Linked DNA regions of Callithrix jacchus. The protein of the gene in region 6 interacts with the protein of the main gene of each other region in a biochemical or structural test. Links are inferred from orthologs where the notes say so. Each region holds a gene or a part of one and is shown on either strand. Other genes may lie near its edges.

The links.
Region 1: the proteins of SNTA1 (region 6) and SLC6A3 interact in a test that uses a peptide from one of them, tested with the Homo sapiens proteins (2 studies listed by BioGRID and IntAct). The link is inferred for Callithrix jacchus from reciprocal best matches to the Homo sapiens genes SNTA1 and SLC6A3.
Region 2: the proteins of SNTA1 (region 6) and KCNA4 interact in a test that uses a peptide from one of them, tested with the Homo sapiens proteins (2 studies listed by BioGRID and IntAct). The link is inferred for Callithrix jacchus from reciprocal best matches to the Homo sapiens genes SNTA1 and KCNA4.
Region 3: the proteins of SNTA1 (region 6) and SCN4A interact in a test that uses a peptide from one of them, tested with the Homo sapiens proteins (2 studies listed by BioGRID and IntAct). The link is inferred for Callithrix jacchus from reciprocal best matches to the Homo sapiens genes SNTA1 and SCN4A.
Region 4: the proteins of SNTA1 (region 6) and ABCC4 form a complex in vitro, tested with the Homo sapiens proteins (2 studies listed by BioGRID and IntAct, with this or other methods). The link is inferred for Callithrix jacchus from reciprocal best matches to the Homo sapiens genes SNTA1 and ABCC4.
Region 5: the proteins of SNTA1 (region 6) and GDA interact in a test that uses a peptide from one of them, tested with the Homo sapiens proteins (2 studies listed by BioGRID and IntAct). The link is inferred for Callithrix jacchus from reciprocal best matches to the Homo sapiens genes SNTA1 and GDA.
Region 7: the proteins of SNTA1 (region 6) and FRMPD4 interact in a test that uses a peptide from one of them, tested with the Homo sapiens proteins (2 studies listed by IntAct, with this or other methods). The link is inferred for Callithrix jacchus from reciprocal best matches to the Homo sapiens genes SNTA1 and FRMPD4.

Annotation. Positions count from the first base shown.
Region 1 is NC_133503.1:204,679,897-204,684,177, reverse strand, and holds part of SLC6A3 (sodium-dependent dopamine transporter), read right to left. Parts: intron 3,494-4,281; coding exon 3,381-3,493; intron 2,081-3,380; coding exon 1,952-2,080; intron 1,252-1,951; coding exon 1,152-1,251; intron 1-1,151. UniProt on the Homo sapiens protein: Mediates sodium- and chloride-dependent transport of dopamine. Also mediates sodium- and chloride-dependent transport of norepinephrine (also known as noradrenaline). Regulator of light-dependent retinal hyaloid vessel regression, downstream of OPN5 signaling.
Region 2 is NC_133511.1:95,329,132-95,332,383, reverse strand, and holds the end of KCNA4 (potassium voltage-gated channel subfamily A member 4), read left to right. Parts: coding exon 1-1,305; 3' UTR 1,306-2,461; downstream 2,462-3,252. UniProt on the Homo sapiens protein: Voltage-gated potassium channel that mediates transmembrane potassium transport in excitable membranes. Forms tetrameric potassium-selective channels through which potassium ions pass in accordance with their electrochemical gradient.
Region 3 is NC_133506.1:89,240,829-89,245,109, reverse strand, and holds part of SCN4A (sodium channel protein type 4 subunit alpha), read left to right. Parts: 5' UTR 1-2; intron 3-157; 5' UTR 158-545; coding exon 546-818; intron 819-905; coding exon 906-1,024; intron 1,025-1,150; coding exon 1,151-1,240; intron 1,241-1,510; coding exon 1,511-1,639; intron 1,640-2,091; coding exon 2,092-2,183; intron 2,184-4,281. UniProt on the Homo sapiens protein: Pore-forming subunit of Nav1.4, a voltage-gated sodium (Nav) channel that directly mediates the depolarizing phase of action potentials in excitable membranes.
Region 4 is NC_133502.1:10,894,394-10,898,674, forward strand, and holds part of ABCC4 (ATP-binding cassette sub-family C member 4), read right to left. Parts: intron 3,730-4,281; coding exon 3,589-3,729; intron 2,863-3,588; coding exon 2,825-2,862; intron 2,426-2,824; coding exon 2,331-2,425; intron 538-2,330; coding exon 391-537; intron 1-390. UniProt on the Homo sapiens protein: ATP-dependent transporter of the ATP-binding cassette (ABC) family that actively extrudes physiological compounds and xenobiotics from cells.
Region 5 is NC_133502.1:92,567,303-92,571,345, reverse strand, and holds part of GDA (guanine deaminase), read left to right. Parts: intron 1-584; coding exon 585-715; intron 716-2,775; coding exon 2,776-2,803; intron 2,804-3,710; coding exon of another isoform or gene 3,711-3,781; exon of another isoform or gene 3,782-4,043. UniProt on the Homo sapiens protein: Catalyzes the hydrolytic deamination of guanine, producing xanthine and ammonia.
Region 6 is NC_133506.1:5,877,799-5,882,702, reverse strand, and holds the start of SNTA1 (alpha-1-syntrophin), read right to left. Parts: upstream 3,166-4,904; 5' UTR 3,037-3,165; coding exon 2,727-3,036; intron 1-2,726. UniProt on the Homo sapiens protein: Adapter protein that binds to and probably organizes the subcellular localization of a variety of membrane proteins. May link various receptors to the actin cytoskeleton and the extracellular matrix via the dystrophin glycoprotein complex.
Region 7 is NC_133524.1:12,935,446-12,939,726, reverse strand, and holds part of FRMPD4 (FERM and PDZ domain-containing protein 4), read right to left. Parts: intron 3,915-4,281; exon of another isoform or gene 3,782-3,914; intron 2,203-3,781; coding exon 1,138-2,202; intron 747-1,137; coding exon 1-746. UniProt on the Homo sapiens protein: Positive regulator of dendritic spine morphogenesis and density. Required for the maintenance of excitatory synaptic transmission. Binds phosphatidylinositol 4,5-bisphosphate.

The DNA.
Region 1 (4,281 bases), on a different chromosome or scaffold from region 6:
TCCAGCATATCTTATTAGAGCATAGATTTTGTTTCATTTAGATGAGGAGGTGCTGGATTCCTCTTTGGAAATATAACACAGAGCTTGGTCTTCTGAGGTGCGGGACGCCAGGGACAGCTTTTCCCCGCCTCCCATGGTTTCAGAGACCATGGTGCTGGAGTGAATTCGAGGCACTTTCTCCTTCCTCTGTGAAGCTCTATGTTTTGTTCAGGGGAGATTACAATTAAAGTGATAGATAAAGTATTGGTTCCAAGTACCCGTGAAAGCACGAGTTTGACATTTCCCTTTTCTGTAGAACAACAACACTGAAAACAATATTCTCAGGATAGGAGCTATTTGTCCTATTTGTCTCCAAGCCAGTGTGTTTATCTGGCTATAAAGTCCACAGCTCTGAGGCAGAGACAATGACCCCTCGTATGCAGGTGAGCTAGGTGTCCTTCAAAACCGGGGCTCACACAGCATCAGAGACATTCAGCTTTGGCTGGAGAGATGCACCTGTTAGGCCTTGTCTGCTCCCCTGAAGCCACCCGGCCAGGTGAGCAGAGCTGGCATCACAGCCCCATTTTACAGAAGACAGAATTCAGGGCAATGGAGGTGGCTTGCCAGGTCAGCATGCGGGGAAAGGGTAGCCCAGCTGCCAGGCTGGGTTCGTTGCTGTTTAAACCACCAGTGGACATTCCAGGACACAGCTGGGGTGGCACAGTGGGCAGGAGCTGCGCCCTGTTGGAGGGCTGCCTACTGACCCTTAGGCCTGACCGCTCTGGAGCTCTGGTCAGCAGAGAAGGCCATAACAGCACCTTTGAAATGCTCTGTGTCACATCCCTGCTGAAGCCCCCAGCATGGATCTGATTGTGTTCCCCTATGTGGGGTGGGCTCGCTTATGCCTCTTGCATGGAGGAAGCTGAAGCCACCTGGCCACTGTGAACACCTCTGACCACAGTGTGTGTCTTCTGGCTGCCATCCAAGCTAAGCACCTCACTGATCCCATCAAAGGGACCAGTGCCAAGCCTCTCCCCTCTGTGAAGCTGTGATGAACCCAACCCAGGCTACCTGCAGCTGAAAGGTGTTTCTTCATGGTGGCTTTGTCAGATAGGGAGTGGCACAGCCACCAAACAAGAGGGCGCCAGCCTGGCTGCCTCTCCTGGACTCACCATAGAACCAGGCCACCCCAATGGCTTCGATGAGCACTCCAAAGAGGATGGACGTGCCGGCTGCAAAATGGTCCAGGAGCGTGAAGACATAGATGCCGCCCTGGAAGAGAAGGATCCTGTGGACCTGCGGGAAGGCTGCTCCCAAAGGTAAGCCCGGCCTGGGGACACACTGCACACACAAGCTCTGTTTCACTCACTGCAAACTCTGGTTTCAGTCCCTAAAATTCAATCCACATGCAGCTTCTTAGGGCCACCTCTATTACAAAAAATAAAATAAAATAAAAATGATCTCTCCTTTCCTTTCCTAGGGCTTCACGTGCAACTAGAAATGGAAGCAACCGAATGTGGAAGTTGGCAGTGCCTCCCGTGGAGAGGAGGTGGCCTGGGGTCTCCTACCATATAGATAGATTCTGTCAGCCCCAGTGTCCCCCAATCCCCAAGCCCTAGAGGGAGGCAGCTTCAGCCTTGAACGCGTCTGGGGGGAGCTGTCCAGATGCTGAAATGACTATGGGACTCACTCTCCAGAGAGCTGTCCAGGTGCTGAAGTGACCATGGGACGCACACTCCGGGGAGCTGTCCAGGTGCTGAAGTGACTGGGATCAAGCTCCGGATGTGCAGTTAACCCTGGGCACTCGCGTGTGTGCATTCGTGTGCGTATGAGTCATTTTCTGGGTGGGTGGGGACACAGCTTCCTGGAAGCACTGCGGTTCTGTCTGACCTGACAGTCCCAGCCAGGCCGCCCTGTGCCACATGTTAAGGAGACATAACCAGGAGAAGGTGAAGCCGGCAATGGTACGTACGTTGGTGACGCAGAACAGGGAGAGGAGGAAGGTTGCCAGTACAATGAAGAGCGTGAAGAGCTCACGGTGTCTGTGCAGCAGCTGGAACTCATCGATGAGCCCGGTGATCACCGACTCCATGCCGCCCATCTGCACACAGAGCACAGGGTCAGGCTGCAGGCTGGGGCACTGCTCACTGCAGCCTGGGCTGAGATCTACTCAGTGGACGCACACCCGGGGATGCACATGGAAAAGGGGATGCATGGCTGTCCAGGGTGCAGGACGCCTGGTAGCGAGGATGGCTGTTGGCGAGGGTTTCTCTGGTGGCACGACCGCAGGAGAGAGAACCCAGACAGACTGCGCTATGCACGGTAGGGGTGAGCTCAGAGGGACCACGCTATCCACAGAAGGGAGGACCCAGAGGGGCCACTCTATCCATGGTAGGGGGGACCCAGCCAGGACCACTCTATTCACAGTAGGGGGGACCCAAAGGGACCACTCTATCCACAGTAGGGAGGACCCAGAGGGGCCACTCTATCCACGGTAGGGGGGAACCCAGCAGGACCACTCTATTCATGATAGGAAGACCCAGAGGGAACATGCTATCTACAGTAGGGGAAACCCAGAGGGACCACACTATCCATGGTAGGGGATTTGTAGCCTCGTCAACGTCTCTGGATGGGTAAGATGTGGCATAGCTAAAACACCACCACCCTGTCCACTACTACTGCACAGGCTTGGCTTGGCAAAATTTTCCCTAGCAAGATGACCCCCACACGCAAAGCTTTTGGGTGCACCTGGCCCAGTCACTGGCTACACCTCCCCAGTGGAGCCTCCTGACTCCCAGCATTCTCCCATGGGATGCCATCCAGGCACCTGACTCCTGCTTAGTGACCTTCTTTGCCTTGCTTAGTCCAGACCCCCCTTCATGCTCCTACATCAGGAACACGAGGCCTGTGGTCAACTCAGGGGCTGTGGCCCAGCTGGGTAGGAGATGAGTGGGGGCTGGATGCACAACCAGTATTTATGTGGAAAGGGATTCTGGGTTCCAAGCAGCTGACAGGGAAGAAGGAGCTGACAGGGAAGTCCAGCTGGTCCAGGGCTGATCAAGGGCTGGACCCGCCACCCCCAGCAGCTGGATGTGTGCATGTGTGTGCTTGTGCATGCATGTGTGTGCATGCACATGTCCAGGATCTGTAGGTGGCTTAGGGCAGGTCACACAGGTACCCCAGAGTAGAGTGATAAAGGAAAAGTTAAACTCCAGTCACCATTTACCCCAGCCCCAAGAAAGGTCTCCCAAATAATCGTGGGGCTTACTTGAGTTGAGCACGGGAGGTCTGGGGGCCGTCTGTGAGCCCAGGGGTCTTGCCTGACCCTTGGAGGGCAGGGCCCCCTTGGGTGGAAGGAGCCAAAGTGCCAAGGATGGGGCTCAGTGGCACAGGTTACTCACGGCACTGTCGATGCCCAGGGTGAGCAGCATGATGAAGAAGACCACGGCCCAGGCTGAGGACAGCGGGAGTGTGGCAATGGCCTCCGGGTAGATGATGAAGATCAACCCCGGCCCTGAAACCAGAACCCACCCTGCTTTCCACGGAGCTCTTGCAGTGCTTTCCCCACCCCATCCTGAGAGGCCAACACAGCCCACCACAGGCCTGTATGGACTAGGGCTGGTGCGGCCCTGCTGAAAAGCCTCCCTCCTGTGCATCCAGCAGATCCTGGCCTGGGACTCAGGAAAACGGAAACCCAGAACCAATCCGAGGGCTTCAGTTCATGCCCACTACCCAGCAACGGGGCTGCTCCGGATCACCTGCATCCTTGAGGGCTATGGGGGCGCTGGGAGAAGGAAGGGGCAGCAACAAGGAGAGGGCAGGAGGGGTTTCCAAGGTGGTCCTGCCCTTCGTCCCAAGTGACACCTGCCAATGTCCTTCTAGTTGGTTTTTCCTGCACATATGTGATATACACACACAGGCACATGCACACACATGTATGAACACACATGTGTGCACTCATATGTGCACACACACACACACACACAAATAGACCCAGCACAAGAGCACAAAAACACACAAATCACACACATCCACATTATTTAGTAGCCTAATTTCTAAATTTAGCAATACATTAGGGATACGTTCCTGACCTCCACCTCCCAGGCACACAAGGAGGTTAAGGTCCTCCCACGAGGTTAGATATGGCTGCACTTGGCCAATGCATGGTGAACCCACTATAAGCGGGTCCCTGCGAGTGAAACTTAGTAGAGGAGCATGTGGCTCCTTCACCACTGCCCCCACCATGGAGTCCAAGAGGTCACATTGACACAGGCTGCTATCAGCTGGGGCCCTGAGGGCTCA
Region 2 (3,252 bases), on a different chromosome or scaffold from region 6:
TTTTTTGACAGGAACAGGCCCAGCTTTGATGCCATCTTATATTATTACCAGTCAGGAGGCCGCCTGAAGAGGCCAGTCAACGTCCCCTTTGATATCTTCACTGAGGAGGTGAAGTTCTATCAGTTGGGGGAGGAGGCCCTGTTGAAGTTTCGGGAGGATGAGGGCTTTGTGAGAGAAGAGGAGGACAGGGCCCTCCCTGAGAATGAATTTAAAAAGCAGATTTGGCTCCTCTTCGAATATCCAGAGAGCTCCAGTCCCGCCAGGGGCATAGCCATTGTGTCCGTCCTGGTCATCTTAATCTCTATTGTCATCTTTTGCCTGGAAACCTTGCCTGAGTTTAGGGACGACAGGGATCTCGTCATGGCACTGAGTGCTGGAGGGCATGGTGGGTTGTTGAATGACACCTCAGCACCCCACCTGGAGAACTCAGGGCACACGATATTCAATGACCCCTTCTTCATCGTGGAGACGGTCTGTATTGTGTGGTTTTCCTTTGAGTTTGTGGTTCGCTGCTTTGCTTGTCCAAGCCAAGCACTGTTCTTCAAAAACATCATGAACATCATTGACATTGTCTCCATTTTGCCTTACTTCATCACACTGGGCACCGACCTGGCCCAGCAACAGGGGGGTGGCAATGGTCAGCAGCAGCAGGCCATGTCCTTTGCCATCCTCAGAATCATTCGTCTGGTCCGAGTATTCCGGATCTTCAAACTCTCCAGGCACTCCAAAGGCCTGCAGATCCTGGGCCACACCCTCAGAGCCAGCATGCGGGAACTGGGCCTTCTGATCTTTTTCCTCTTCATTGGGGTCATCCTCTTTTCCAGCGCTGTGTATTTTGCAGAGGCGGATGAACCTAATACCCATTTCCAAAGCATCCCAGATGCATTTTGGTGGGCTGTGGTGACCATGACAACTGTGGGCTATGGGGACATGAAGCCCATCACTGTGGGGGGCAAGATTGTGGGGTCCCTGTGTGCCATTGCGGGTGTCTTAACCATTGCTTTGCCAGTGCCAGTGATTGTCTCTAACTTTAACTATTTCTACCACAGAGAAACTGAAAATGAGGAACAGACACAGCTGACGCAGAATGCAGTCAGCTGCCCATACCTCCCCTCTAATTTGCTCAAGAAATTTCGGAGCTCTACTTCTTCTTCCCTGGGGGACAAGTCAGAGTATCTAGAGATGGAAGAAGGAGTTAAGGAATCTCTGTGTGCAAAGGAGGAGAAGTGTCAGGGAAAGGGGGATGACAGTGAGACAGATAAAAACAACTGTTCTAATGCAAAGGCTGTGGAGACTGATGTGTGAATTGCTTTCTCCACCTGCCACTGCCCCCCCAAGCATCTCCAAATATATTTATGCATAGAGAGTGCAGTTATGAAAATGAAATATGCAAATGATCCAATGCATACAGTAGTACACCATTTAATGGTTATACATGGCATAATTGTACCTAAACTTGTATTACATATCAAATAAATGATATATCCTGGAGAAGAGGGAGGCTTAAATAGGAGCAAATCTATCTTTATATTTTTATTAGAATGCAAGAGTTTTGCACATTAACTAGAAAAGATGTTAGTGAAAATGGAGAGAGAGTGTGTGTGTGAGTGTGAGTGTGTGAAGTAAATTGTTAATGTTAGTAATTGTGCAGTGATGGGAAAAGTTGGCATTTTGAAGTATTTACTATGTAAGAACTAATGAATTTGAACAGTCATTTATCAGTGCTTTAATAGCATCTCATATGTCTTTGGATTCTGTAGTTGTTTTTTAAAAATTGTAAGAATTGCTGCGTAGAGAAAAAAGAAAGTAAATTATTTAATAGAATATAGGTCACAATTTTATCTTGGATTTAATTAAAGTTTATTTTTAACTGGAAATTAACTTTTAAAAAGGCTGCAAGGGCCTCTAGAAATTGATTATATTTTGTTATTAATTTTGGGAAGATTTGACAGCAAATGTCTAACATTATAGAATAAATGACATTGGAGAATATGTAATAAGTTTTGTTTGCAGGTAACAGGACTGGAATTTTTTTTTTTTTTGCACTTCTTTATATGCTGGAGATTGAGAGAGACTTCATACTGTGAATGTTTGCTAATGTAACAGTTCAATGACAATCATTGGAAGAATGATTTCTCTAGTCTTATTTTATTGTTTTCATTGTGTGAGACTAATGACCAGGCAGATAACATCACATGATTCTCTCCTCTTTTAAAATCTAAATAACTGATCTACAAAGGAACTATGAAGTAAAATTTAGCAACTGAATCTTTTGAAATTGGTCTGTTACAATGATGCTTCTGAAATCATATATCTTATATGTTCTTCTGCCTTTCAACTCCAGAAAAATTTAACCAAAGTTAATGCATGCACTGAAAGAATTCTTGAAGAAATAAGATGCCCAGCAGCTACAGTGATTATGGCCTAAAATTTTTCTATTAAATGTGCAATATAAATGCTAGATTTATTAAGTTTATTTTTTTGTGCAGTTATATAAGAACAGAATTTGAGGATTAACCTCAGATTTTAACATTTTATTTGCTAAAATGAATATAAGGAAGAATTGTGTCCAACATTTGGTTTCAACATCACCATCATTATCAACTTTATTAAAGGAAATTATGACACATATAATTGCATTTAACTCACCACAAATTGTTCTAGAATGTGAGATAGCAACTAGCGATCAGCCTTGCACTATTAAATCATAATGAGGTATAGTTTAGAAAACTGGGGATGCATACAAGGCCTTATTCCACAATGCTTCTTTAAGTTTTAATCTTTGTAAAATAGTTGTCTTGAATTCTGGGCAGGGGACAAAACAAACAACACTGCATACACTTTTCAGCACATAGCGAACTCTGGTAACTGTGAGCTAAAAACAAGCAAACAAACAAAATGACCTAGAATGGCCTTTCTCAAGCTTTCTAAAATCCAGGCCATCATTTCATAATTACATAAATCCTACCTCTCTTTTAATGGTATTTGAAATTCAAAGTAAATTCAACGTTAGGGTTCAAAGTAAAGCTGCGCCCCCTCTCCACCCCTTCCCCATCATTTGTAGAGAAACTCTTTTCTAGAAACCTTTTAGATAATGAAAAAGCAAGCAGGACCTTTGATTGAGTGTGAAGACCAAAGATCAATAGAAGACAATAGAGAATGATAAAACAACAAAATACCATCTTACAATAAGACTTCAAAGATAACGTTTTAATGCGTTTTAGATTTGGGGCAAAAAATGTAATAAGCCTT
Region 3 (4,281 bases), about 83 Mb from region 6:
AGGTGGCTAATATCAGGATCCACATTGGCCCTCATGATGAAGTCCCTGTGCTAGTCCCACTTTAGTCTGACTCCCACTCCCCACCACGCCCCTCATCCTGGCCCATTCAGAAGTCACCTGAGCACAGCCAGCTGTGGTTCTCTCTCTGTCCTCTTAGGCTAAAGTCACACAGTTCCAGGAGCTCGGGCCCAGAAGGCAGTCGAAGGCACTGGGGCATTGGCCCCACATCCCAAGGCCACAGAGAATCTGGTTGGTTTGCCGTCAGTCCTGGGGGTGGCCCCCGCCACTGCTAGGGAGAGCGTGGTGTGGGGCCAGGGGTGATGCTCTGTGCCCAGCACCTGTGCAGCAGTAGCACCTGGGCCTTGCAGGCACATCTCCCAGTCCCAACAGAGCCTGCACGCCCACCTCCCCAGCTCGGCTGCTGGGCAGGCAGGAGGTGAGGAACGGCCGGCCGGCCCAGGGAGGGGCAACTGCCCAGCACCCCGGGGCTGCCCACTGCAGCTGTCCCGGCTACCCATCCTGGTCTCTGAGCCCAGGATGCGAGGATGGCCAGACCGTCTCTTGCCACCGTGGTGCCTCTGGGCCCTGAGTGCCTGCGCCCCTTTACCCGGGAGTCCCTGGCAGCCATAGAACAGCGGGTGGTGGAGGAGGAGGCCCGGCTGCAGCGGAACAAGCAGATGGAGATTGAGGAGCCCGAACGGAAGCCTCGAAGTGACTTGGAGGCTGGCAAGAACCTGCCCATGATCTATGGAGACCCCCCGCCAGAGGCCATCGGCATCCCCCTGGAGGACCTGGATCCCTACTACTGCGACAAGAAGGTTCGGGCCTGGGAAGCCTCCCTCTGTCTGTCTGCTGTCCATCTGTCTGTCTGTCCCCAGGCCTCACAGCCTCTCTCCCCACCTTAGACCTTCATCGTTCTCAACAAGGGCAAGGCCATCTTCCGCTTCTCCGCCACACCCGCTCTCTACATGCTGAGCCCCTTCAGCATGGTCAGGCGAGGGGCCATCAAGGTGCTCATCCACGCATATCCTGCCAGAGAAGGGAGAGGCGGGAGGGCTTAGGGATGGGCGAGATGGGGTGCTCTGGGCCAGGAGACCCGCCATCACCTCCCCTCCTAGCTGCTTCGTCACTCTCCTTGACCCTGCCCCACGCTGTTCAGCATGTTCATCATGATCACCATCTTGACCAACTGTGTGTTCATGACCATGAGTAACCCGCCTCCCTGGTCCAAGAATGTGGAGTGAGTCTCCCCCATCCCTGAGCTCCCCAGCCCTGGGACACAGACCATCTCAGGTGTCTGCACCTCTGCGTGACACTGCTCTTGTCTTTCAGGGAGACACACTGTCACCGTGACCCTTTTCCACACCTTGAACCCCCGGGGTGGCCACACTATCACTCGATAGTGTCCTTAGCTGCTTGGGTGGCATATTTTATTTCTGGGGGTCTGTCGTTGCCACAGTCATCCCTGCCTGTGTGACATGCCTGCCCTGGCCGGCCCTCTTCCCCCCAGGTACACCTTCACAGGGATCTATACCTTTGAGTCCCTCATCAAGATACTGGCCCGGGGCTTCTGTGTCGATGACTTCACATTCCTCCGGGACCCCTGGAATTGGCTGGACTTCAGCGTCATCATGATGGCGTGAGCAGGGGCCCGAGCCTGGGATGGGTGAGGGGAGGGGCCAGGCCTCAAAGAGGGCAGCTGCCTGTGCTGAGGGCTGCAGGGGACATTTGTCAGTTGTGCAGACAGGGAGCTGCACAATTCTAGAAGCTGCCATTCTCAGGGTCTGGCTCAGAGCTCTCCTGAAGGCCTCCTGGTCATCCCATGAATCAGCCCTGACCTGCAGGCCCTCACCCGCTAGGAGAGCCGGGCTGTCTTTGCCATCCCCACTCCCCCACAGCAGAGCTCATGCACTGTTCTTCCCAACTCCTGGGCTCCCAGAGGAGCTTTGAGGGTGTCTTACCTGCCCCCAGACCCTGTGGAACCCCCAACTTCTAGAGAATCCTCATTCCAGGCCTGGAGAGGCCCTGATTTCTGCCCTACGACCCACCCCAGGCTCTGACAGTCCCCACCTCACTCCACCCCCCTCCCAGGTACCTGACAGAGTTTGTGGACTTGGGCAACATCTCAGCCCTGAGGACCTTCCGGGTGCTGCGGGCCCTCAAAACCATCACAGTCATCCCAGGTACTGGGGAGGTGCAGGGACCCTCTGCCTGAGCTGAGAGATGCCACCACCCCCGGCCACACAATGCACCTGCCGGGAACCTGACTCAGGGTCACAACCCTCCCCGGCTGAGAACTCACAGCAAAGCCTGGACAAAGAGGGGCCCACGTGACCAGGGGGCAGAAGGGGTTCTATGTGGAAGAATGGCATTTGAGAGGCAGCATAGCAAGGTGGTTAAGAGCACAGACTCAGCTGGGTATGGTGGCTCACGCCTGTAATCCCAGCACTTTGGGAGGCCAAGGCAGGTGGATCAAGTAAGTTTGAAACCAGCCTGGCCAACATGGCAAAATGCCGTCTCTGCTAAAAATACAAAAGTTAGCCTAGTGTGGAGGCAGGTGCCTGTAGTCCCAGCTACTCAGGAGGCTGAGGCAGGAGAATCACTTGAACCCAGGAGACAGAGGTTGCAGTGAGCCTAGATCATGACACTGCACTCCAGCCTGGGAAAAAGAATGAGATCCTGTCTCAAAAGAAAAAAAAAAAAAAAGCACAGAGTCTGGAGCCTTGACTGCCTGGGTTCAATTCTCACCTCTACCACTTCCTAACTTTGCCTTTGGGCAAATGCCTCATCCCGTCTGTGTCTCAGTTTCCTTATCTATAGAATATGTAGACTAATAATACCACTCCTTGGTTTGTTGTAAGGATTAAATGTCTTAATGTCCGTAAGGCCCTCATAGCCCTTGACCCATGGCTTGTGATATACATGTGTGTGCTCAATAAAATAAGCAGACCAAGCAGAGCAGAGAGAGACACAAAAGGACTCCATGAGGGAAAGTCCCAGCCCTGAGAGCTCAGTTAGGAACACGCCACGCCCCTGCTGACCATGAGGCCAGGGCAATTCCAAAGTAATGCATCGAGAAACTGAATTAATAGAATCCGATCATTCAGACCCACAAAAGAGCAAGTAGAGAAACTGGAGATGGCCCAGTAGAGAGAAAGAAAAAGGATCGAGATCAGTCTCTGGAAAGAGGGGAAATTGTTAAATCCTAATGCAAGAAAGTACCTGAGGCCAGGCACGGTGGCTCACATCTGTAATCCCAGAACTTTGGGAGGCCAAGACAGGCTGATCACTTGATGTCAGAAGTTCGAGACCATCGTGGCCAATATGATGAAAACCCATCTCTGCTAAAAATACAAAAATTAGCTGAGTGTGGTGGCACCTGCCCATAACCCCAGCTACTTGGGAGGCTGAGGCAGGAGAATCGTTTGAACCCAGGAGGCAGAGGTTGCAGTGAGCCGAGATCACACCACTGCACTCCAGCCTGGGCAACAGAGCGAGACTCCACCTCAAAGTAAAAAAAAATGAAAGAAGTACCTGAGCTCTCTTCTAGTCTAAATAAAGCCCTCTGACTACAGCCAAGGAAGGTGAGGCCCCGGGAGAGGAAGCGCTTCCCAAATTCCATACTGCACGTTGGCCACTGAGCCAAGATGGCGTTGCCTTTCCTGTGTCAGCTGCTGGCGTCCTGGGAGCGCAAGAGTTCTTTTATAAGGAGTCTGCCAAGCATTTGTTTTCCATATCAAGATAAGAAAAGGAAATGAATTCATATTAAAGCAAGAGGCACTATGATTAGGCTCAAGAAGAAGTTATGGCTCTTGCACAGGTGATGGGAATCAGCCCCTGGGATTCTTTCAGCATTGTTTATGCCTTTGTCTCTCCAAAGAATGTAATGATGTTTCAGGGTCAGTCTAGCGCTTCTCAGAGTGAACCCTGCTGTTTCCTCAGGGGTTACTAGGTATTTTAAGGAAAAGGGTTCTGTGGTCAAATACGTTAAGGAAACGTGGAATTAAAGTTTTTGTTTAATAGTCCAGGCAAGGTGGGTGATGCCTGTAATCCCAGAACTTGGGGTGGCCGAGGCAGGCCAATTACTTGAGACCAGGAGTTTGAGACTAGGCTGGCCAACATAACAAAACTTCGTTCCTACAAAAATTCAAAAAGATTAGTTGGGGGTAGTGACACCCACCTGTAATCCCAGCTACTCATGAGACTGAGCCAGGAGAATCACTTGAACCTGGGAGGCGGAGGTTGCAGTGAGCTGAGATTGCACCACGGTACTCCAGCCTG
Region 4 (4,281 bases), on a different chromosome or scaffold from region 6:
ACAAAGATCCTTCCGAAAAATGGCATAACCTAACACTATGTAAACACGGCCAATGTTTTAGCAACTATTCAGCTACATTTAAACATATTTACAGGGAATGCAGGATGCTTTGCTTGCCTCACAGCAAATGGATTCCTAAAGCATTCTGCAAAGTGAACATTTATTTTTCCACACACATATAAATTGGAATAAAAGATTGTATGCCCCCCCATATTCAGATTTTCTCTGGCAGTAGAATAATATCAGTGAAGCATCTTGTAGAAAATTAATCAACATGCATAGTGATTTTCTTCCAAGCATCCCTTCCATTTTCAAAGACGGAAATGTAATCAGATCCTAAATGTGTTGTTAACAAGACATATTTACTGAGAAACTTGGTGTCAGACTTACCTATTGGATTTCTGTCAAAGAATAATACTGGAGCTTTCAGAATTGACTCAAACATTTTGTTGTGCAAAGTTTGTGAAGAATTAACAAGGACGTAGAATACCAACAGAGATCTTGCTATGCCAAAAAGAACGGTAGCTACAGTTAAACCTGAAATAAAGAAATATCACTTAGAGAACACAGCATATCTCTGCATTTTCTTCAATAGTGCTAAAGCAAGTCAGATAGTTCATAAAAACGTTACTTATTTTATTCCATAAAGTATCTGGATTCTATAACAGTATAACATATTTATAAAATGCACTGATGAAGAAGAATTAAAATAGTTTATTTTTCTCTCACCGAATAGAAACTGCCCAGAAAAGAAAAACCAGATGTATAATACAGTTTCATTCTAGGCTTTCCTAATTCAACAGTAAGTTCTATTAACAACTCAGAAGTAAGATAGATAATCATGAAATATAGTTGATCTTCTCCATATTCCAAATCTTATTATTTACATTATGTCCCGTAATCTAAAAAAGGTGGTATGTTTTGATACCAACAGGTGATATTAACAAGGAATAGGAGAAATGATTTACCTTTTCCTTGTAGAAAATGCCCAAGTAGCTTTAAAGAATTTAAAAATACCATATTAAGTTGCATGTGGAAAACCTCTTGAATAATTGAATTGCAAGAAAACACAAATCATATTTTAATATAAGATAATTAATCTAAATAAGCAACTAATCCCCCACTACATGTTTTACATAGACACAAGACATTTTTAAATGAATAAAATAAATTATACGTTTTTATTGAGACATGAATGAGTATCCATTATTCACACAGAAATTAAAAGAGCTTTCCTATCATCTCTTAACTCCCAATGCTCAGTACAGTGGGGGTTACTTCTATAACAAATATTTCCCTTTCCGATGACATGTCACTGTTATTTAACCTCTGAAAGCAGCTCAAATTCCTAACTCCATCAGTGGGCATTATCTGTAGCCTCCCATCCTACACAAACATATAATAGAACCGATTTCCTTCTTCCTTGAGTTTTCACACAGTCTGCCAATTAGGAAGGTAAACACCTAATGGATTTAGATTTATTAGCAAGCGATCGATGAAATCAATACTAAATTTCACTGAGTAGGTTCTTACAAAGACAACTCATTCTATCTCTGAGGAAAGCTTATATGAGCATTTCCTGTGGAAATACTTAAAATTTTAGATGAGGATTTCCTTGAAACACTACGTAATGCCACATACATTCTAAGCACCCTTGTGAAAACAGAGTACGGCGTTAATATTAGTCTGGCAAGCCAAATGTTAAATTAATCACACAGTTGGGGACGCGATAACATTGTGATCTCAAGGTAAGAAATAGAAGGCGTCCTAATTCCCAGACACTGGATTTTTCCCTGCTCAGCTTCCCTCTTAAGTAATTAGTGAAGCCCAAGAGATGAGCAGTGCTGAAGGGAGCTTTGCATACCTGGAAGGGAATAATGCTTTTATTTTGGGGGCCTTGCTGCCAGAGGATTTCATCCAAGTTCAATAAAAGCCAGGGTTTATTTAGACAGAATTGGAACAATCCGAACCACAGGGTGGGGATCCGTTTCTAATCCCCCTGCCCATCCGTATAATGATATAAGATTTAGCTAAAGCAACCTATTAGAATAGACAATAGCCACATATTTCCAGTGGCTGATTTTCTGAATGCTCAATCCTGGTTTAACTTTCAAAATCCAGTACAGAGCAAATTAAGAGTCTTCATTCAACCTCTTTCTTCTAGTCGATTTTTAGAATAATTATTCTAATTAATTCACAGAGTAAATGCGACTGAGACTCCTAATCTGTTAAGACATTACTGAATTACTCCTGGAAGCCCTAGCTACTCACACAGGCTCATTGTAAGCACCTCAACCTCTCATATAATAGACCAAATGATTCAACTTTACCTGAATAAATTCCTAAGTACCAGTTAAGATCCAGCCTCTGGGTTACATTTCCTCCTCCATTTACAGTGCCATTTAGAGCACTTTGTTTGTTTGCCCTATGGAACACGGGGAGAAAAAAATATTCAGCTATTGATGGAATCTAGATAAACACATTTTTTAAAAAAATGAACCTCAATTTGAGAGAAATGCTTCATGTTGGAAAATGATTCTCAGCTCACATAGTCCTGTGTGTATCTACCTTATAAAAATTCAATTTAAATCACGACTTTCAGTTCCCGAAACTGTCTGTGAACATGATGCTGAGGATCAGACATGGGTGGAGACCACCACAGGTTACACTCCACCAGCAAGCACTCTAATTTTTCTTTGGGTAAACTAAGTGAGGATTAGAAGAGAAGGATGAACAAACGCCACCCTCTCCCCCTACTCTATGGAAAACTGAGTCTTCTTAGTGATTCTCAAGTATTTCATACATGAGACCAGACATAACTTACCAGTACGAAAGCCACCAATCTTGAAGAACATAGGCCACCTAGGAGGAGAGAAACCACGATGACAAAATTAAACTTTGGCATGATTACCGGCTCAAAACTCTTCATCACTAACATGGGACAATGCAAAGAAAGGCTCACAGCCGGCTGCGGTGGCTCAGGCCTGTAATCCCAGCACTTTGGGAGGCTGAGGTGGGCAGATCAACTTAAGGCCAGGAGTTCTAGGCCAGCCTTGCCAACAGAGCGAAACCTCATCTCTACTAAAAATACAAAAATTAGACTAACCTGGCATGGTGGCACATGCCTGTAATCCTAGCTACTCAAAAGGCTAAGGCAGGAGAATTGCTTGAACCTGGGAGATGGAGGTTGCAGTGAGCCAAGACTGCACCACTGCACTCCAGCGTGGGCAATAGAGCAAAACTCTATCTCAAAAAAAAAAAAAGAAGAAGAAAAGAAAGGCCACAGAGGAGAACCTGCATAGTTCTTCCAGCTCAGGCCTGTGCCAAGCCCAAACTCCCAGATATTAAGAGCTCAGGAAAATGCATATTCCATTTAAAAATCATTGAAAGATACCCTATTTTCCCCAGAAGGTCTTTGTAGTGGACATAAAACACCAATAGGCAGCTCTCACTTTGTTCCCCAAAGACAGCACATTTCAATGCAGACCCCAAGGGAACGGCAAGATGCAGTCACAAGAGCATAAATAAATTTATATTAATATACTGTAAATATCATTTTGAGGGCACAAAACAAATGTCATTATTTACCTGAGCTGCGGCATTTAGGAGAACGAGGAAAATGATGACAATCCAGTGAGCACCAGCTCTGAAGTAATTCTTATAGGCCTTAAAACCAACTTTTCCTTCAGAACGGTTCTCCTCTGAGAGTGTAGCTGGGACATTCTCTGTCTGCAAAGGAAAAAAGGTGGTAAGAGACTAAACAGTATAGAAAATTGTATCCAAAGATGACAATGCATTCTGTTGACAAAGCTGTGGGGAAACAGACAGAAGTCCAAAATGATCCATCTCCTGTGGAGAAGAGTGTGGAAATATCTAGCCAAACTGTCCATGCATTTATTGACAGATTGACTGAGATGAAGTTTTGTTCGTGTCACCCAGGCTGGAGTGTAGTGGTGTAATCTTGGCTCACTGCAACCTCCACCTCCTGAGTTCGAGTGATTCTCCTGCCTTAGCCTCCTGAGTTGCTGGTATTACAGGTGCCTGTCACCACCCTGGGTAATTTTTGTATTTTTTTAGTAGAGACGGGGTTTCACCATGTTGGCCAGGCTGGTCTGGAACTCCTGACATCAGGTGATTTGCCCACCTCGGCTTCCCAAAGTGCTGGGATTACAGGCGTGAGCCACCACGCCTAGGTACATGAACTTATCCTTGGACCCAGCCATCCCATTTTCAGGGTTCTACTAGAAATAAGGAAATATCATTTGTACTTTGTGGCGTGGC
Region 5 (4,043 bases), on a different chromosome or scaffold from region 6:
TTCACTTTGAGAAGTAAGGTGTTTTTTTTCCATTCAAAAGATTTAAACTAAGGAATTTCTGATGGATATTCCTGCATTGACAAATATGCAAAAAGATAATTATTTTTTATTTATGCAAGGTTCATTTCACTGCCATGAAAATAAATCTTGTCAGCTATTTCATGAAACAGAAAGAACAAGAAAGGCAAGGCAAGGAGTTGAAGTGTTGTGAGGAGAATAGAAGGGAAAAAGAGGAAAGGTATTATGTTAATCATCATGTTTCTTAGAGGGATAAATGAAAAGCATAAACCAGCTGGGCTATGAAGTGCACCAATAGAGCTGAAATAGAGACAAATCAGAATTGCAATACAGTGATGAAGGGAACTGTTTTTATTCCCAGATTTTGCTTTCCTGTGGTTACTCTACTTTTTGTAAGTAGAAGTCTTGTGACCTATTAGAATGAGAGCGCTTTTCTGTCTCACTGTTAAGATACTAAATTTTTTTTCTCCTAGCGACATGTTGGCAGGATCTGTCCTTACAAACTGAGACATTAGTGTGGTGTGATGGCTTGTAATCCTGACTGTTTATTCCCTTGTTCTCTGTAGCCCTGGGGCTGGATAGAGAGATAGGAAACTTTGAAGTGGGCAAGGAATTTGATGCCCTCCTGATCAACCCCAAAGCATCTGACTCTCCCATTGACCTGTTTTATGGGGATTTTTTTGGTGATATTTCTGAGGTAAGAAAAAGAAAGTTAATCAAAAGGCATTTATTTCATAAAGTCGCCTAACAGCTTCCCTCTATAAAAGAAAATAGAAACTGAAACATTTTAATGGAATGCAGGAAACTCTTCAAAGGGACACTAGAGCCCTTTGATAATTATTGTAATTTTATGACAGCAATGTTAAAAATAATGGTATTAACAAAACTTTTCTATTTTGAATGTGTTTGTATATTTGAACGTAACTAGAACTCATTGAACACTTGCTATGTGCTGGCTAGGCATGGGATTAGGCACTTTCATACCTAATTTTGTTCAATCATCAGAGCAACTCTAAGGGAGTAGGTACTATTAATGTTGTCATGTTAATTTATAGAGGCAGTGTGGCTTAAGGGAGGTTAAGTGATTTACGTGAAGACTCATAGCCAGTGATTAGTAGGCAGAGTTTGGACTCACACCTGGAGCTTTCTGACTACCAGAGGCGAGGCTCTTGACCACTCTGTTATGTCAATGTTTTCAATTTTATAAGAAAATGAACTTTGTTGCTTTATCATAAAATGTTTTCCTATGAATAAACTAGTTAATCTTACTTGAAAAAATACTTTCTTGTAAGATATTGAGCTCTTTCTAAAAAAAGAATTAACTATTGCCATTTCTAAATTGATCTACTTATGAGAGTAAATGTGATAATAAATATATCATATTAAAGTTGTTTTTTTTTTTTTTTTGAGACGGAATCTTGCTCCGTTGCCAGGCTGGAGTGCAGTGGCGCAATCTCAGCTCACTGCAACCTCCGCCTCTTGGGTTCAAGTGATTCTCCTGCCTCAACCTCCCAAGTAACTGGGACTACAGGCATGTGCCACCATGCCCAGCTAATAGACATAGTTGTAATTGCTAGTTACTATTGTTGTAGAAATCAGGAAATTAATCCTTAGAAAATTAATTTCCTAAGGTCTTACAGATAATAAGTGACAGCTAGAACTTAACTTGAACTTTATAGGCCATCACTAGACAACCCAAAGTCAAGAAAGGGAAGTCATGTGATGAACTTAAATTATGGAGACCAAAATCCTAGGAAATCTGAAAACAGTATCTGACTGATTTTTATGTGTCTGCTAAATTCTTCACATTAACTGACTTCCTTCGTAAGGAAGCAAAGACCCAAAGAAATGGGTAAACTTGGGTATTTTTATGCTAGGTTTGATGAAGAGTGGAGCATTGTAGAGAAATATGATAGGACAAAGAGTGTGATCCAGTGGTAATAAGCTAGAAGGGACTTAGCAAGACCTGTTGGTTCAGATTCTTCTCTGCGACCCTTTGTCTTCAGAGGTCAGTTATAAGGAGGACACCCTTTACATGATGGTCTTATAACCTGCATTGGGGTGAGGGGTGAGGGGTGAGGGGAGGGTCCGAATGACCTCCCTGCTTTTGATTTGAGGATAGTCCTGATCCCATTATTATTTTTATATTGTTTATTCTTTTACTCTCTTATTAAAATTAATTTCTGGGAATAGGGCTCTAGGGAATAGTTTTAGTCATTTTTCTTACATCAGGGGTATCCAAGGGAGAGAATACAGTCACAGGTTCTTAGTTTCTGTTTCTGGTTGGGCCGGTAAAGTCCCCTCCCTCACCCCTCTTTTCTGCTTATCACTAGAGACAGAAACTATAAACCATGGCTTCAGGCTGCTAAAAGCCGAAAACAGAACCAAACAGAACAACAACACAATAAAGCAGATTGGACAAGCTTGTCTTACAACATACACCTCTTGAAATATTTGAATTATTTTACTAAATTAATTTCTTTAATTTATATAATACCTTTTCCATGATGACTCTAAAGTTACATACCCAAAACTTTCACGCAATAGGTAAACTGTTAATTGCCAATGGATTGTTTTGTTGTTCTGGGAGGTTTTTTATTAAAGCACGTAGTTATTTCTTTTTTAATTAATAGAAGTAGATTTTGCCATTGAGAAGTACATTCATATTTCTGGGCTTTGCCAACCATTGTCAGCTGTGAATTTACTTTTCTAAATGCACAAACTATTCTTTCTTATTACTTTTATTTTCCATTTTAGGCTGTTATCCAGAAGTTCCTCTATTTAGGTAGGTGAATGTATGTCTCTATGCTAAATAATAAATAAAATCTTTCCTTGTCTTGTCTTTTTCTTGGCTATGGCTCTCTGTATTTATCATGCCATATATTAAACTCTATGTATGATAATTTGCTTTGATTCATTTTTTTAAACACTCTGAAGCATTAAGCCCATTGTGGCATATTATTTAAAGGTTCTATTTGAAGTGCACATGACTTTCTCTAGTCATAAGTTCTAAGCTGAGAAATAGAAATAGAAGGCCAAAGGGGAAGAGATTTTCATGTTCATTCCTCTTGTACTCATTCAGTATCTGACATTCTGCCTTACCATGTTTTTGTGACAAATACATAGTAGAGTCTCACCACGTGTTCAAAGTCTCACCTTTGTTCAAAGGAAGTTGCATGAATTCTCAACTCTGGTTGAGAGCGTTCATAAATGTGCTTGTAATGTACTCACGTTCAATTCCATTCACTGAGAGAAACAGTAATGCAGAAGATTCTACTCTACTTCCCATCCTGTTGAGTGAGCTCAGTGAGCTTGAGATGGACAGACACATGTGTTACTTCTTGTGGAACTGCTTCTGGAGTGTAAGAAATGTGTAAAGTATTTCTTTCTCCACGGGGGGCAAAATATAAACCAACCACGTTAGCTGAGAAAGGACAGCTAAAGGGGGCTGATTCAACTTTATGTGATTTCTGCCTCGGGAGCGGAATTCAGACCCTAATCATGAAATTAGCCATGACATTTTCTACTGATCATGTCTTCCTGTTCAGATTATAAACCTGAGCGTGGGGGGAAAGCAGCTTTTGGTATTTCCTCTCCTAAAAGTATCTTTAAAAAAAATCTCTCTCAATGGCAATGAAGATAATTATTGACTCAAAAGGACTTTATACATGATTCCTTGATTTTTCTTTCAGGAGATGATCGAAATATTGAGGAGGTTTATGTGGGCGGAAAGCAGGTGGTTCCGTTTTCCAGCTCAGTGTAAGACCTTCGGGCATCTATGAAGTTCTCCTGGGATTAGTGTGGTTCTGCATCTCCTTTGTATCCAGGTGGAGTTAGAAAGTCAAAAAATAGTACCTTGTTCTTGGGATGACTATCCCTTTCTGTGTCTAGTTACAGTATTCACTTGACAAATCGTTCGAAGGAAGTTGCACTAATTCTCAACTCTGGTTGAGAGGGTTCATAAATTTCATGAAAATGTCTCCCTTTGGAGCTGCTCAGACTTACTTTAAGCTCAAACAGAAGGG
Region 6 (4,904 bases):
CAGTCAGCTATTCCTATGGCCTCAAAAGACTGCTTTAGCAATCATAATGTTTTACAACCCAAGGTCCAGGCTGGAAACCAAAGCCTTAAAGTCTAGAGATTCTAAAAGCCTGTCTGAATTACATATCGGATACAAAAGAAGCTAATACATTTTACTAAACCGCTTTATTACTTAACTGTGAAAGCCCTTTAAAAATAAGAAATAGTAATAACAGTTCACCTTCACCTTAGTTGCACGTATCAAATGCCAAGCACTGTGCTGAATGCGTTCAATGTTGTTTCATTGCGTCTTTACAATACCCCATCTCATAGGCATGCTCAGTTTCCTATTAGGAAAACTGAAGTGTGGAGGGAAGCCCCTTGTCCAAGGTCACTCAGCTGGTAAGTAGCGAAGCCCGTATTTGCACCTAGGCCTCCAGGCTCCAGAACCAACACTATTCACCCTACGATAGATGGCACGTCAGGCCCTCAAATATCACACTCCTGGCTCATTCCCAGAATACTGAAGATGAGGAATTAGTGGCCCAGAATGGGAGGTCATTGTTCCAAGGTGACACAAGCTGGTGGCAGAGCTGGGATTGGAACACCTCTCTTGACCCCCACACAGGCCCAACACTTTGCTTATCTGCACAGAGCTTGAAGTCTAGGAGAGAAAGGGGTTTCTATTTATATCTGTCCTCCCCCATCTGAAACTAGGGGTTTCAGTTCGGTTGGAAGCTATGATCACTCATGGCTGCCTCAGACTAAGCTAGACTCTAGAGGATGGGTTACCATGACAACAGGAGCCCAGTCTCCATCCACAAGGATTTGGATCCTATGATAGTACCTGAAGTCTCCCTCCACCTAGAAGTATGCAGCTGGGGGGGAACTTTGTGTGACTTAGAAAGTCTGCTCCTCTCTGAGTCTCAGTGTGTCCATCTGTAGAATGGAACTCTATATGAATAAGTTCAGGCCAGGCGCAGTGGCTCACGCCTGTAATCCCAGCACTTTGGGAGGCAGAGGCAGGCGGATCATCAGGTCAGGAATTCGAGACCAGCCTGGCCAATATAGTGAAACCTCCCTCTCTACTAAAAAAAAAAAAAAAATTAGCCAGGCATGTTGGTGGGCACCTGTAATCCCAGCTACTTGGTAGGCTGAGGTAGGAGAATTGCTTGAACCTGGGAGGCAGAGGTTGCAGTGAGCCAAGATTATGGCATTGCACTCCAGCCCAGGTAACAGTGTGAGTCTCCATCTCAAAAATATTAATAATAAATAAACAACCTGCTGTGACACACTGAGTATATAATTTTTGGATTGGTCTGTTGTCCCATCCCATGCTGGAGACTGGGGGTAAGACTGGTGCCCATATGCTCGTTTTCCCATTTCCCCTTTTTAGGTCCTCTTGGCTGCCTGGGGATCTGCCATTCTGCAGGAAAGAATCAACTTCCCTGAGCACTCTCTAGGGGACAGTAGCTGATAATTAAGGTTCAAATCCCAGGGCTGACACCCACTGTGTAATCGTGGAAAATCATTTTACTTTTCTGAGTCTCAGTTTCTTCACCTGTGATGTGGGGATTATATTCCCTATCTTTCACCACTTGTTGCCAGGATAAAATGGATCATGAAACTAGTGTCCTGGGCACCACACATGGCACGCAGTGGTGGCATTCACTACCATCCTCACTGCCTCAGCCAAGCCAAAGGGTCTGGAGGCACTAGTGAACAGAATCAGTACTGGGGAGACCTGGGTGGGGACAGTTCATATTCAAGGTGCAGAAAAAGGCTGACACCCTTTCCCAAAGCACCCTGCTGGAGGCTGGAACCCTGAGAAACAGATAGGCAGGAATAGTGAGCCCAGCAGCTGGGGTTGTGCAAGGATTTTAAGCACTATGTTTAGTAGCTTTGGGAGTATCTCCTGGACTCCAATATTCCTCTCCGCTAACAGCAGTAATTAACTAGGCACCTACAATGTGCTGGTGTGGTGAGCCCTGCTCTCAGAAGTCACAACTCTATCATCCTCTTATACAGTTGAGGAAACTAAGATTCAGAGATGGGATGGGATTTGCGCAGGCTCACACAGCTGGTCCTGGACTCAAACGCAGTCTGTTTGCACTCTACCTGCACCCTACTAGTGGTCAGTCTTGGGGGCTGAAAGCTCTCTCTATCCTGTGCAAGGTGACTCAGACCAGGAGACTCAAATCCAGCTGTCGGGGCTCCCCATAGCCTTCCTGGGTCCTTCGATTCCTAAGGCCTTGCTGGCCTTCTCTCTGTGACCCCAGCCTGTGCCTGCACCCAGGCCTCCTATCCACCCCTGTGCTTCCCAGACTCCAGGCCTCCGCCCTGCGCCCAACTTGGTTGCTTCTCAGGGACTCCCTGCTCCCTGCTCCACCGGTGTCCCAGCCTCAACTCCCTTTCTCCACTCTCTGCTTTTTGGGGGACCCCTCTTGTCCTTGATGTTCATGCTGGTTGCCACTCAGACCCCCACGCCTCCACACACAACTCCCCACCCACGTGTCCTTGGTGCTCCCACAATATCCTCCACACCAGTAGCTACCGTGCCCCCTAAGGTCACCAACTACAGAAACCCCCTCCGACCTTGGTGCGCCCAGTGCCCTCTGTTACCTGTTTCCTCAGAATCCCCTTACCCCCAGACAGAAGGCCTCCATGTCCTGGGCGCGCTGCCAGCCCCCTGTGCCCTCAGCGGTCCCCAGACACCGCGACCCCGTACCCTTGGTGTCCCGCGCCCACCTTTGATGCTGATGCCCAGCCCACCGGCATCGGCCTTGCGCACCGTCACGCGGCGCCGCTGGAGCAGTAGCGCCTCAGGCAGCTGCGGGGGCCCGGCGCCTGGCTCCGCGGCGCCGTTCAGCTGCGCGGGCTCCGGCTCCCGCGGAGCGCCGGGATCGGGGCCAGGGTCGCCGTCGGCGGAGCTCACGGTCAGCACGTCCTCCGCCAGACTCAGCAGCACTCGCTGCCACCGCTCGCCGCCGGCCCCCGAGCCCGCCCCGGCGCGCAGCTCCAGCAGCCCGGTACGCGGGGCGCGCCTGCCGGACGCCATCTTCGCCTCCGAGACCCCGGACCTCCGTGCTCGCCCTGTCCCGCCGTGCCCTGCCCGTTCCTACCAAGCACCCGGGGCAGAGGGCAGCGGGGGCCCGGCTGGGCCAGCCGCCACCCTACCCTGGCCGCTGGGGGAGGAGCTCTGGGGGCGGGGCTACCAGGGGTGTGGCCAGCGCTTAGGGCGGGGCCTCGGGCAGGAGCAGGAGGCCGGGGCGGGGCACGGGAGCCGAGGGCCTCCGAGTGGAACTACCTAGGTTGCGGCTTAGAAGGAGCGGGGCGGGGCCACGAAGTAAGGCGAGACGCCTGGGAGGCGTGGTGCTGGGCGGGGAGTCAGGGGGCGGGGCTTCTCTTCGGGGGAGTAACCCAGTGATCCAGCTCAGGGGTCTCTGTGCTAGGAATGTCCGTCGAGGGCCGAGACTGTAGCTCGCGGACGTGGGAGCGCATGAAAAAGAGACAGAACCACGTATCCTGGTGCGAAGCATTGGGCGTCGTGCTGCGTATGGCGGAGCTCTGGACTCCAGGGCTTGAGTTTAATAGGTAGACATCGGCCGGGCGCGATGGCTCACGCCTGTAATCCCAACAGTTTGGGAAGCCTAGATGACAGCCCAGAAGCTTGAGACTGCAGTGAACCGCGATCATGCCACTGCACTCCAGCCTGGGTGACAGAGCGAAACCCTGTGTCAAAAACAAACAACAAAAAAGGTAGATACTGAGCCGCGAGAGACTACAGGCAGAGTTTTAGTTGGAGAGCGGAGGAAGAAGCTGGTTTCGCATCGGGGTAACCGAGGCTTTGGTCTGTGGGCGTGGCTTATAGTGGGCGTGGCTTCAGATGTAACGGGCCCCGCCCCCGGAGGAGAGAGCTGCCGGCTCCGCTTAGGGCTTAGGCAGGATCCCCACTTCAAAACTGGAGGGAAATTTAAGAGATTAATCCCTGGCTCTGTTAACAGTCGAGGATAGAAAAACCTGAAGTCCCACACTTTGAGGCCTGGCAGAAAAATCTCGAACTCCTAGTGTGTGGGAAGAGGACTGCAAGGTGGGGCTCTGGGTCTGGGCGTCTGGAGACCTGGTTTCTAATCCTTGCTCTGTTAGCTCCAAGTCGACCTTGGTCCCTTCACATCACTGCTCTAGGCCCCAATTTCCTCATCCATAAAATGTGGCTCATAATAATATCTACTTCACAGGGCTGGTGTGAGGATTAAATCAATGTGAAGACACGTGGTAAACTGTGAATCCCTATGCTATAGAAATAATCACTTTCGGCGGGAAAAGTGGCTCAACCCTGTAATCCCAGAACTTTGGGAGGCCGAGGCAGGCAGATCACCTGAGGTCGGGTGTAGGGTCCAGCCCTACTAGGGTCCTGGAGTGTCCCCTATCACTGTGCTGAAGCACTGGATCCAAGAAATAAGGAGACAGGACACCAAAGGACTGGATAAAGACAGCTGGGCTCCGGGGGCCAACGCCACTTACAAGTGGAGACAGGCGATGCCCTGAGCGTCCAGGCACATCTGTATTCGTTAGGTATAGGTTAGGGGGAAGGGTAGTGAGTGAGGTCATCTTAAGGATAGTGATAGGGTCAAGACAATCACGTGTGCAATAAGCAAAGAGTCCACCCCCATTAGGTAGCCGAGACAGGAGGTGGTCAATGTGCAGCAAGGGGTCCACCCCTAAGGGGGTGGACAGTGCACAGTAAGGAGGGTGCAGTGTGCAGCATCTCTTATCTAGGGGCAGGCTACTTCTAAGAATTCCTATAGGAGGATGCTCTGAGTCAGCATAATAGCAACAGAGCTGACAGAGTATACAGCCACCTGCAGGCTGCTACTAACGATTTCTATAGGAGGTTGCTTTGAGTCAGCACAATAGCGAGAGAGC
Region 7 (4,281 bases), on a different chromosome or scaffold from region 6:
GCCATCACTGGCTTCTCCATCAGGAGCTCCTTCTTCCTTCCCTTCGGCCTCCCTTGCCCCAAGACCAGAAGCTCTTGGAAAGGTTTTCCCCGATGCTGCTTCGAGTCCGCTTTTTTCAGCCATCCCACCTTCAGCGGCCACATACCATCTTTGGCTGTCCTTGCGAAAGGCAGTTCTCTCCAGATTAAAAGTGCTCAGGTGTTGACTGTCCCGTGAAGAGACAGTACCAAATTTACCACTGGCATCCTCCTCCATCTCTGCTGTTTTGGTCCCCTGTTTTTTTCCTGTTGTGTTCGCATTAGAGGGTGCCTTCCCCTCACCATCGGCCAGCTTGCTTTTCCTTTTGCTAGTGCAGGAGTATGCCACCGACCCCATGTGCAGTTTGCTGAAATAGTCAGTGACTGACTTAGTCTCCATGGTTTCAGGCTCCATCTCCATGTGGTCTGAGTGAAGTAACTGCTTGGAAGGCACGACTTTGGGCGGGAGGTCGGTTGCTGGCCTAGCAGCCAGGGCATGTGAGGACTTTGGAGGTAAGCCCCCAGCGGGGGTTTTGGAGGCCGGAAACTCGGTCTGTTCTTCTGCAAGGGGGTGGTAGCCTTCATGAGTGGCCAAGAACATGCGGGAGAGGTTTTCTGACTGTTTTTGTGCTGTGGCCAGTTCAGAACTCTCAGTCATTTCAGAAGAGTTAGTTTCATTGCCCGAGTCTGACGAAGACTCAGGACTATAAGCCCGCAAGATGGCTACACCTGCATGCCGTAAAAAACAAGAACTGATTAATGGATGCATCAGAGGCACTTGGAGACATGTAAGAAAATGGGACTCGTTATTATTAAAAGAAAATACCAAGTTTTTCCCTTTTCAGTAAGGACTCTGAGTTTATTGCACAGTTGTTCCAGAAATGGGGGAGAGATGTGCCTTATGTTTTTTTAAAAAAAAAAAAAAAAAGCAAAGAAAATCACATACACACACACACACACACACACACACACAAAACCCATGATGGTAGTTTCAGCACATTTATGAAATGGGACATGTGTGAAATGGAGAACACCACGTAACAGGACTCCAAGGGCAAATGGCTTGGAAGGATGGAAGGATATGGTTATCAGTGAATGAATGTAACAATTGTGAAAGAACCTGAATTGTCACTGGTCTGCTGTTCTTCTGACACGGATAGAGCCTCTAGAGCTCCCAGCGTGGAGACGACGGCATTATCCAGTCCCTTCTCACACTTGCCTTCGGTGCTGGTGGGCACAGCGTCAATGAGAGACACGGGGATCTCATCATTTTGCAGGCTGCTGCCTTTCTCCTTATCCTCGGGGAAGGAAGCTGCCTGGGTCTGAGAGTCCTCTTCATCTGAACTGTCTCTAAAGCCAGGTGGGGGTGCGGCAATGGCCATGTTCAAAGAACGCAACAGGAAGTCATCCTCATTGTCATCACCTTCTGGAGGTGGTAGGGATGTGAGGTCAATGATGTCATCACTTGACCCAGACAGGTTGAGGATAGCCGGCTGGTTCATCTCCCCCACCACGAGGTCCTCCTCACAGCTCACCTCATCCTCGTCCTCTGCATCATCGGTGTTTTCTGCATAACAGATGTCATGCAAGAGGGGCTCCTCAATCCCCTCCGTGGCCTGGAAGCTCTTCACATCGCCTATGTTTGCATACACAGAATTTTCCACAAACTGGATGCCCTCTGCATCTGGAGTGAGATCCAGGCCTTTCATGTCATTGGCACTGCTGATGTAGAGATTTCTCTGCTTCTCCAGCATTTCAGGACTCTCATCTAGTAGTGTTTCATAGCCGAGAGTTGGGGGACTAATACCATCATCCAAGGCGAAGTCTCCAAAAATAAAGGACACTTTAGCTCCTCTCGGAGATTCCTGTGCTTTCTTCAGAGTTTCTGGTCCTGAGAGGGTCAGTAGGGACCGCTGAGCTAGACTTCTGTAGTCTGCCTCACAGGGGGCCTCCCCGGGCTGGCTCAGCTGCTGGTTAAGTCCATCTGAACTATAGGCATTGTCTATGTACAAGTGCCGGTGCTCTTTTGGACACATGGTGCTGTCTGTGATCTCCACCGCCTTCTGCTTTGAATCTATGTATGTTATCTGGGCTTCTTGTTCCCCTTCGCCAATAAAGGTTGTCATTTGGGGTATACAGTTCCAATCTGGACCAAGGAGGTTATGCTTCCCCTTGTTTTCAGTTCCTAAAGAGAAAGAATCATGCAAAGACACATTACTGTGCTGTCTGGTTCTGGGTGGAGGACGGGGCTCGTCTCTGTTTTTTAATTTCATGGCTTGTAGCATCACTTGTGTAAATACAGGTTTACAGCTACCCAAATATAGTACTTGTCAATTTGGGTGTAAGCATTCCTTGGGTTAGGAGAACCAACGTTAACAAAATCCATACTGCATATTGATACTGCACAAACTAGAATTGCTATTTGATCAAATGTAATGTCATCTGGGGGTAGGGAAGTATAGCTTAATTCCATCTGACCCTTGTTTCTATTCTTAAAAGGCTTCATTTATATCTACGAATGTGAATATACAACGTGCTTTTTACAACCCTTAAAGGGGAGATTTCAGTAGGCTGTTATTCCAGAAAATAGATTTTCCTTTTCTTTGTAAAGTGAGATCCAATATTTCCTAGTTTGTGGAGGAAGATAATGAATGTTTTCCTCATTGAGTTCAGAGATGGTCAAAGATTGTCACCGTTTTACCATATATTTTAAGGAAAGTAACATACATATTGTAATGATCGTATAAAACTTCTATCTTCAATTTTTTGATATCCTAGTGGATGTTAAAATAGTCTTGTATAAATGTCAGTATGCATGCCTGTGTGTGTATGCATATAAGATGCATAAGGTGGAGTGGTTACAGGTAATGTACTTTTCTCTGTAATTTCTAGGCATAATTAATATTTAGATTAATTTCCATTTTTATTTATATCATGGGAACTCTTGAAGATTTGATGTTCCTCATGAATTAAAATGACAAAAACCCCAGTTGAAATACTGTTATTGTGTTTGCTCTTCAAGGGTGTTTCAATCTGGAATTTTGATGCGGGGATTTGCTCTGATATTTAACAAGACAGAGAACTAGGTCATTCTGTTGATACTGCCTTGTAGATTCCAGAGGCAACATTCTGAGAAAATTTTAGGGCCATACTATTCTTCCATCTGTTCCTTCAAATAGCACAAGTTTGTGTAACTGACATCAGATGTGCAAGACATATGGGGGAAAAGTACAGTTTTACCAAAGAGGTTTCTGCTCCCCACAAATCATGCAATGGACTTAATGCTGAACAATTCTCAGGGTCATTTTAATAAAATGTATTTTCATGAACAGTAAGAGAGAAAATTTTGAAGACATTGAATTATACACTGGCCATATTTGCATCTTACCTTACAATAAATAAACCTTGTTGGGGGTTCAGCATTATTTTATTAAAAACAACAATTTAGATTATGACTGGATGTGCCTGTGGGGCGAAGTGTGTACGTGAGTGTGGATTGTCGTGGGAGGAACAGTAGTTCAGCAAAGTTGCATTGTAAGGCAGCTTTGGACCAGGGCTTGGCAAACATTTTCTGCAAAGGGAGGCCCAGATGGTACATATTTTGGTTTTGTGGTCTAACCATTCAATTGAGCAACTACTCAACTTGGCTGTTTTAACATGAAAGTAGCCATAGATGCTACCAATTGGTGTATGGGTTGAAAGGTGGCCCCCAAAAGATATGTTCACTCTGTGAATGTGACCTTATTTGGAAAAATGTCTTGCAGAGTTAAGGATCTTGAGATTATTCTTAATTGTCTGCCTGGGCCCTAAATTCAACGGCAGAGAGAGATTTGGGCCACAGAGAAGAGGAGGTGACCATGTGAAGACAGGCAGAGACTGGAGTCACGCAGCTACAAGGAATGCTGGTGGCCACCAGAAGTGCGAGGAGGTAAGGAGAAACCCTCCACTAAAGCCTTTGAAGGGAGCATGACCCTGTTAACATCCTGGTTTTGAACTCGTGGCTTCCAAAAGTGTGGGAGAATAAGTTTACGTTGTGTAAAGCTCCCAAGTTTGTGAGAATTTGTTCCAGCAGCCTTAGGAAAGTAAAACAATGTGCAGAGTTGAGTTCCAATAAAACTTTATTTGCAAGTACATGATTTGGCCCATTGACCATAGTTTGCCAACTCTGGTTTAGATGAACAAGAAAACTGAATAGGTCAGCAGGCTCAAAGCAAGCTGATGGATACTTACTGAGACCCTCCTAAAGCCCAGAGATGCATGCCTA